Danio rerio: one gene and its partner. The main gene of each other region encodes a partner of the protein of the gene in region 2 in a complex. Links are inferred from orthologs where the notes say so. Each region holds a gene or a part of one and is shown on either strand. Other genes may lie near its edges. The genes, in order: rnaseh2c and rnaseh2b.

Region 1 (3,070 bases), on a different chromosome or scaffold from region 2:
TGTCGTGTTGTTTCCATGTAAATGTCTACTTCCAACACGTTAGAGACAGACATTTTCGTTTAGCCTTTTAATTTGATGTTGCCGCTATGTTGCTGTTTCTACGCTGTATTGGTTGTTACCAGGTTACAAAAAAAAAATAGCATGGTCAAATCAATCCGATAAGACGAATCGGAAAGCAATATGTTGTTTACGACATTACAGAGAAGGTAGCATTTAAAGATTTAAAAGCACAAACTTAAAATGCATGCAATTGACAAATAGTCACAGACAAATTAAATATTAGTGACAAGGCAGCACTGTCCCAATCGGGCCATTAATGATCCGGTCTACTGTCCCAAGTGTCTCTCACGGCGGCCCTGGGCCACCGGGCAGTCCTTATTGTTTAGCCCTGATGTGTATTGACCATTTCAATGTAGTGATGTCATTGGCTCATGAATATTTCCTGCTGGTTTTCAGACTATTTCATCACTGTAACAAGAGGCAATTCAATCATACCTTAATGTAAAACAGCTATCATGACATTATCAATATGTGGCTCTTTTTGGATTCTCGAAGCTATAGAAATTAAAAATGTAAAGCAGGAAACAGGACCATTGTTTTTGTTTACATGCCTCAAAATGGTCTATAAAACCAACTTTACTTCAATTAACTTGAACCATTATAACAACAAAACATGTTCATAAGTGCACAAAGCCACATGTGGACTGCCTGGTATCACTCTCGCATAAAATACTTGAAATCCTAATAACAAGTTTGTTTTACTAGATGACGGCAAATAGTTGTGTGACATCCATCCGACGTGATTCCATCAAACAAGCTGACAAACCACAGATCCACCTGTTACCTTGTGAAGTAGAGCATGACGGACCCGCCGAAGTCTTCAAGTTCTTTAATCCCACAGTGAAGGAACGCAAACATGGTTAGTCAAACACCAGCACACACCTCGAGACTACAACTCAAGTTTTAGCACTCCACCCGATAAAGATAACATTGTGTTTGGCAGAAACCACAGTATCATTCAGAGGCCGAGGGCTGAAGGGTCAGGAGTTGCAATGCCCACAAGGATACACAGGAGTGGTGCTGAAAGAGGTCCAGAAGCCGGCATCTGATCAAGAGGTGCCTGCAAATCAAACATGTTTAAATGTTAGATGTCTACTTTCTAGGAAACACATCTTTAATGATTTCTAACAATTGTTTCCAGGACAGAGTAGTAAAAGTTTCTTCAGTGTTTCATCATTTCACATACTGGAATTTGGAGACGCCTCCCACATCTGATGACGGAGTTGTGATGGCGATGGCATGGCCAGAGTTAGCAGAGGCGGTGAGTTACTTTCTGAAGCACTTATTTATTGTCATTAACACAGCAGATAATAATGTAATAAACACATTTTCTGCCAATTCAAATTCTCTAAAGCAGGGATGCTCAAACTTGGTCCTGAAGGGTTGGTGTCCTGAATAGTTTACTTTCTTCAACACACCTGCTTGATACCTAGAAAGAGCTTGATTAAATGGTTCAGGTGTGTCTAACTGGGTTTGGAACTAAACTTTGCAGGACACCGGCCCTCTGAGTTTGGGCACCTGCATTAACTTAAATCAATACCTCTTCCTGCAGATACATGGACCAGTGGATGACTGATAACGGATGCTGTTTTATTATGGAGATCTACCCCCCCCCCCCTTCCCCTCCAAGTACACGGTTACAGTAAAACAAATGTTAAAATAATCTTTTGCTGGAAGACCACCATTTTTACCACACTTACCATGAATGTCACAATCTAACAATCTATTAAAGTGTTGTTTTATTGTTTTCCCTTGTGCAAACTCTTACTTTTGCCATGTAGCTGCTCATTATTTAATAGTAACAATACATTTTGATTTGATATTCATTAGTGATAAAAGATTGCAGTTATGTTTTTTGAAACAAGTCTCGTGTTCACCAAGGTTACATTTGTTTGATTTAAATACAGTAAAGATTGTAATATTGTGAAATATCAGTAGAGGGCACCTATTTGACCCCTTTTTCTAGATTTAAGATAAGTCTTTCGTGTCTCCAGAATGTGTTTCAGCTCAAAACACCAATCAGATTATTTATTATCCCTTTCGGAATATTCAAATGTTCTGCTCTGAACACTATGAAGCTGTTTTTGTGGCCTGTGCCTTTAATGCTGGTTCCCTCCACCCACCGTTCTCCACCCACCAGGCCTGTCAGAGTGTGCCTTAATCTTCCCCACGACTGTGTCAGATAAACAGCACAGTGACAGACATGAAGGAAGCAGATCTCACATAACATTTGTGAGAAATTCTATAGTGAAAACTTTCCCAATGATTTTTTGATGTATTGGGTGCAGTTTTTTTGAGCCTTTCAATGTATCACACACAATGTTGTTATAAAGTTCACGCACACAGATATACATAGAGAACGCACGCTTTACTATACACTGCTTTTGCATGGCAAATGTGACAGGATATAAACGTTAATATCCACCGCTATATGGATATCTGTTATGTTAATGTACAAAATAAACCTGATTTAACATCCACAAACCGAGATTGAAGCGTCTTCTTTTATAATTATACTAACAAGCAGCTGTGGTGATAAATTAAAGATAAAGTAAAATTGCTGTAATTCATTACAAACATGCACTGTTTGAAAAACTTTTAAACTTGTAAAACTCATTCTTGATGACGATCTTTAATCCCAGTTGCTTTGCACATGTCCTGACTTGTTGATATGACACATTACTACGGACACATGTTAATAAGCAGCTGTCAATCAATTCGGTGGGCGGGGAAACCACACTCCTACGTCACATTGCGGTCGGCCTCAAAATGGGACGGATTTAGATCTTATTTTAATGTTAAGAGATTCAAAACATTGAGACCTATTGTCTATTATCAATCCCAGTATAACTGTGGACACACTATACGTACACACAGTTGTCCAAACAGTTTACAAAAGATGATCATAGGTGCCCTTTGAAATAGCTGTCTTGTACCTAATTTCACAGCTAAATTACTCCAATCTGTCACATGATAGTAAGGATTTTTTTTCCATGTAAGATTTTTGGAT
Region 2 (4,517 bases):
GGAACAGATTCTCAAACAATGTCAGGATAATAATCAATTCGAAAAGTTGTATAAATATATATTATTAAAGGAAGATTATGATGAATAGAGGTGATTGAAAAAGAAAAAAATAGAAAGGTATGATGCTATTTCAATTCATGGCTGTTTGCAACACTTTGTATTTTTGAGTGTATGTTACAAAATGTGAATGTACAAATGAAATTAAACAATTATCATGTCAAAGATGCCAAAAGGATAAAATATGTTTCATTTAAAGCTCATATGTCTCATGTAAAAAGAAGAGATAAGTAAAAGAAGAAACAAGATGAAGTAATAGACGAATGACGTGTGTGGTAATGGGGTGGGAAAATAATAAGCTTGTGCTTCATCCTGCTCCATTTTGACCATGTTGAAATGTGTTTTTGTTTAAAGAATTGTTTTATGTATGATTTTTCTGTTCTAAATAAATAAATCAAATTACCATTTGTAACTTTGACAAATTAACAACAATACATTTTATTGAATTGTTTAAAACGAAGACTATGCAGTATTATTTTACAATTTATTATTCAATTACTTTATACCTGAATACAGTTCGACTCATCAGAAAACAATAAAACTGGCTATTTTTTTCATTTGTTTCTTTTTTATTGAGTTTATTTAAACTTGTAGATTGTTTATTATACATTATGTACTCCCCAACAGAATCTAAAATTATAAATTATTTCCAAATAGCTATTCAAGTCATCTCATGAAATTGTATTCATATCGCAATGTACAGTTGAAGTCAGAATTATTACCCCCCACTGAATTTTTTTTTTTTTTTCAAATATTTCTCAAATGATGTTTAACAGAGCAAGGGGGTTGTCACAGTATGTCTGATAATATTTTTTCTTCTGGAGAAAGTCTTATTTGTTTTATTTAGGCTAAAATAAAAGCAGTTTTTTTTTAAACACTATTTTAAGGTCAACATTATTAGCCCCTTTAAGCAATTTTTTTCGATAGTCTACAGCAGTGGTTCTCAAAGTGGTGGTCGGGACCCCTTGAGGGGTCGCGGGACAATGAAAAGGGGTCGCTTAGTGATTTCCAAAACTCAAATACATTTGAGTAAACTATTAGAATTACCATATTTTATTCATAACCCACAGAAGATAGTTAATAGTTATGTTAAAGACACAACAACAACAACATACAAACAAAAATCAGCCATCAGCCTTTAATTTTTTTATGTTTGAATTAAATTAATGAATGACTACAAAAAACATTATACGGTTATTAGACTGTTGCATTTGTATGTTGTCAATATGCTCATGTTTTTTATGCCTATAGTTGTGTATTTTTAAAGTATAACCACCTTGAAAAATGGGGGTACCAAATCACTGACATCATTATTTTGGGGGTCGCGGGTTGTAAAGTTTGGGAACCCCTGGTCTACAGAACAAACCATAGTTATACATTAACTTGCCTAATTACCCTAACCTGCCTTGTTAACCTAAAAATGTTAATTTAAACTGTTTAGAAGTGTCTTGAAAAATATCTATCTTTTGTCATCATGGCAAAAAAATCAGTTAAAAATCTGTTATTAGAGATGAGTTATTAAAACTATTATGTTTGGAAATGCGTTAAAAAAATCTCTCCATTTAACAGAAATTGGGGAAAAAATAAACAGTGAGCCAATAATTCTAACTTTTACTGTATATCACAGAACAAAAAAATATTACAATGTAAAATATTTCCAATATCATGCAGTCCTACTATCAGAAACTGAAACAGGTTTGAAATAGATTGTGAATAAATTATGACAGAATTTTTATTTTTGTGTGAACTATCCTATTAATGGACGATTCACTCTCTGTAGTGTGAGCTTACCTCTTTGCACTGTCTGTCCAATAAACCAAGACCGGAAGTCTTCAGAAAAAGCTTTTACTTCATAAACACTCAAATCTCCACAGCCAAACAGGTACAGCGAAGAACTACCTGAACTCAGACAACGACAGAACTGTCAGTTAGTTAAGGTTCATATAGCTGATCCACGTCATCTCTAAACCATCAGTTGCAGTAAATGAGTGCACTGAGTCAAAAGGCCACCTGTAGAAGGATTCTTCAGTTTGATGAAGGAAGGATCACTGTCGACAGACCTGCCAGTGTCTAGTGCTGAATCTGAAAAAAAGGGAAGTCACAGAAGGAAAATATAAGTGGATTAATAAAATTCATAACTAAACTTAATGTAGATGTTGGTGGTTAAAGGGATAGTTTACTCAAAATAAATGAAAATTTTGTTGTCATTTACTTATCGAAAAAACTAATTCTGAAAACAAAAACATATTTTGAAGAATGTGGCCAAAACAAAAGGTTGCAGTTACATGGTATAATTAAAATACCATGGGGGTCAATGGAGACCAGAAGTTGTTCGATTGAGCACATTTTCAAAATATCTTATGCTAAGTAGAGGAGAGAAATTCTCAGAAAATTAAAAGGTAGTAAATGGTAACGTAATAACGTTATACATACACTATATGCACTACTACTAATAATTACTATTAGAGTGATTTCTGAAGGACCCGAAGACTGGAGTAATGAAGCTGAAAATTAATCTTTAAAATCACTGGAATAAATTATTAATTTAAATGATAAACTGTTTTTGCACAGTTATTTTATAGTGCATTAACATTACACAATTTTTACTGTATTCAACAAATGCAGTCTTGGTAAGCAGGAAAAGCTCATTTTTTAAACATTTAAAATATTGAATGTAACTAACGGTTAAACATAGAGCATAAAGATAAATACATTTTCATAACGAGTCCTCAGTGTATTAGGATGTGAACTGAAGACTGTTTATAACATCAGTAACGTTATATAAGTTTAGTATACAATGCATGTAGGGACATGTGTGAACATGCAACAGCAACACAGAGTAACTAACGTTAAACGTAGCAAATGTTAGATACCTGGAGCAATGACAACCCAACTGTCGCTCTCGGTGTGTGCAGACCGTTTCTTTTTAGAAGTCATTTCAAATAACTAGTTTTAAAAGTTAAACTGTAAAAACAAGTTGTCCGCTGTGTATAAATGCGACGAGTGAATGTTGTGCCTTCAGAAAAATGGCGGCAAATCTTTGAGTTACACATAAGCAGGGGTAAGTACTCGACTTCAAGTTTTATTCTAGGGTTTGTTTAGGTAGTGCTGCACAATATTATACATTCCTTAATAATATATTGCGAATAAATCAGATGTTATGTTTTTTAAGAACGGGAGTGGAGAATGGCACCTCTAAAGAAATATCGAGTGCACCGTGTTCACCCTTCTCTCCAAATGGTACGGTCTCTCAGTATTCCTTAAAGACATAGCGGGTCATTAAAAGCACCAGGCAGCCTTCAGGTCTTCCATTTTAATCAACTGATTCTTCTTTTTTGTGTTAAATTATTATTGTTAAAGAGTGTTGTTCTTGTTACCATTTAAACCATTAAAAGGTAAGGTGTTGAGTTTAGTGTACAGTATTTCAGTATCAGTACTGAAAATGAACGACCTAATCTAATGTAAAACAACACTGTATAGACTTCACTGTATAAATAAAATTTCTACATTTATAGCTATTTATAGCATGGATTTATAGATTAGTGAAGTTATAAAAGCTATTCAGACCTGATTGGTGAGTACCCTAATTTTATTGCATTGACAGGCCTATTATGATACAAATCAAACTCACAGCAGGTTCATTAGGCTGCAGTTATCTACGTGCATAAATATGTCTGTGGACTTCTTCATGTATTTATTTATATGACAAATAGTTTATAGTACATTTTTCTTTGTGGCCTATTTTTGTTGTCTGGGGGAATTGTGCAACACCACCAGCTACAAATATTTAAAAAAGAATCGTTTGTGATAAACTTCTACCCAAACATAAAAAACAAGATGCAAAGCTGTTCTCTTTTGTTGTGATATAGCCTACTGTAAACATTTACATGACACATTTATTATACAGCTTAAATAACTAATGTGTGTATTATTGGTACACACATAGCCTACATGTGCACTGAGAGGGAAGACACACAATATTAGGAAGGATGTTTAAAAAAACTCAGAGACAAGTCTTGAGGTGTCTGCTTAGTTCCAGCACTTCAAGCGGCCCCAGGATCTTGTCAGGTTTTGCCAGTGGTGCATAGGGTACAGGTGTCTCTTGCACAGTATGATAATATTTATTTACAAAGCATTTTATTCACATTGTCAGGTTGTGATCCATCAGCAGTATTAATCTAAAATCTGGATTAAATCAAAGTTTATCTAAGAATTATGTTGCCTAAATATGAGGCATGTGGTTTACAATTATACCAAATGTTTGATCCTGGACTTTATTTCACAATAAACCTGGATTAACTAGGCTACAATCTTATTGTTTCATCACTTAGGTTTAGATTTAAGTTAAGGATCAACTTTAAATTTGCAATTGATAAGGTTTAAACAGCCTAAATGCTATTCTATTTCTGGTGAAAAAAATTAAAGTTTCTCACAGATAAACAAGGGACTATCCCAACATT

The links.
Region 1: the proteins of rnaseh2b (region 2) and rnaseh2c are in contact, whole or in part, in a crystal structure (PDB 3PUF), measured with the Homo sapiens proteins. The link is inferred for Danio rerio from reciprocal best matches to the Homo sapiens genes RNASEH2B and RNASEH2C. Residues at the interface, in NP_078846.2 of Homo sapiens: Arg14, Gln15, His16, Val17, Phe18, Leu19, Val20, Ser21, Glu22, Leu24, Leu35, Met36, Phe37, Val38, Lys39, Leu52, Glu62, Lys64, Phe66, Glu68, His70, His71, Ser72, Trp73, Phe74, Ile75, Asn76, Gln77, Ser78, Val79; in NP_115569.2 of Homo sapiens: Ile9, His12, Arg13, Val14, His15, Leu16, Ser18, Ala27, Thr28, Leu29, His30, Leu31, Leu32, Pro33, Cys34, Glu35, Val36, Ala37, Val38, Asp39, Gly40, Pro41, Ala42, Pro43, Val44, Gly45, Phe48, Phe63, Val75, Pro77.

What each region holds. Positions count from the first base shown.
Region 1 is NC_133189.1:40,008,578-40,011,647, reverse strand, and holds the end of rnaseh2c (ribonuclease H2 subunit C), read left to right. Parts: intron 1-765; coding exon 766-919; intron 920-1,003; coding exon 1,004-1,116; intron 1,117-1,201; coding exon 1,202-1,321; intron 1,322-1,612; coding exon 1,613-1,636; 3' UTR 1,637-2,540; downstream 2,541-3,070.
Region 2 is NC_133184.1:31,343,521-31,348,037, reverse strand, and holds the start of rnaseh2b (ribonuclease H2 subunit B), read right to left. Parts: upstream 3,056-4,517; 5' UTR 2,931-3,055; intron 2,140-2,930; 5' UTR 2,068-2,139; intron 1,957-2,067; 5' UTR 1,849-1,956; intron 1-1,848. UniProt on the Homo sapiens protein: Non catalytic subunit of RNase H2, an endonuclease that specifically degrades the RNA of RNA:DNA hybrids. Participates in DNA replication, possibly by mediating the removal of lagging-strand Okazaki fragment RNA primers during DNA replication.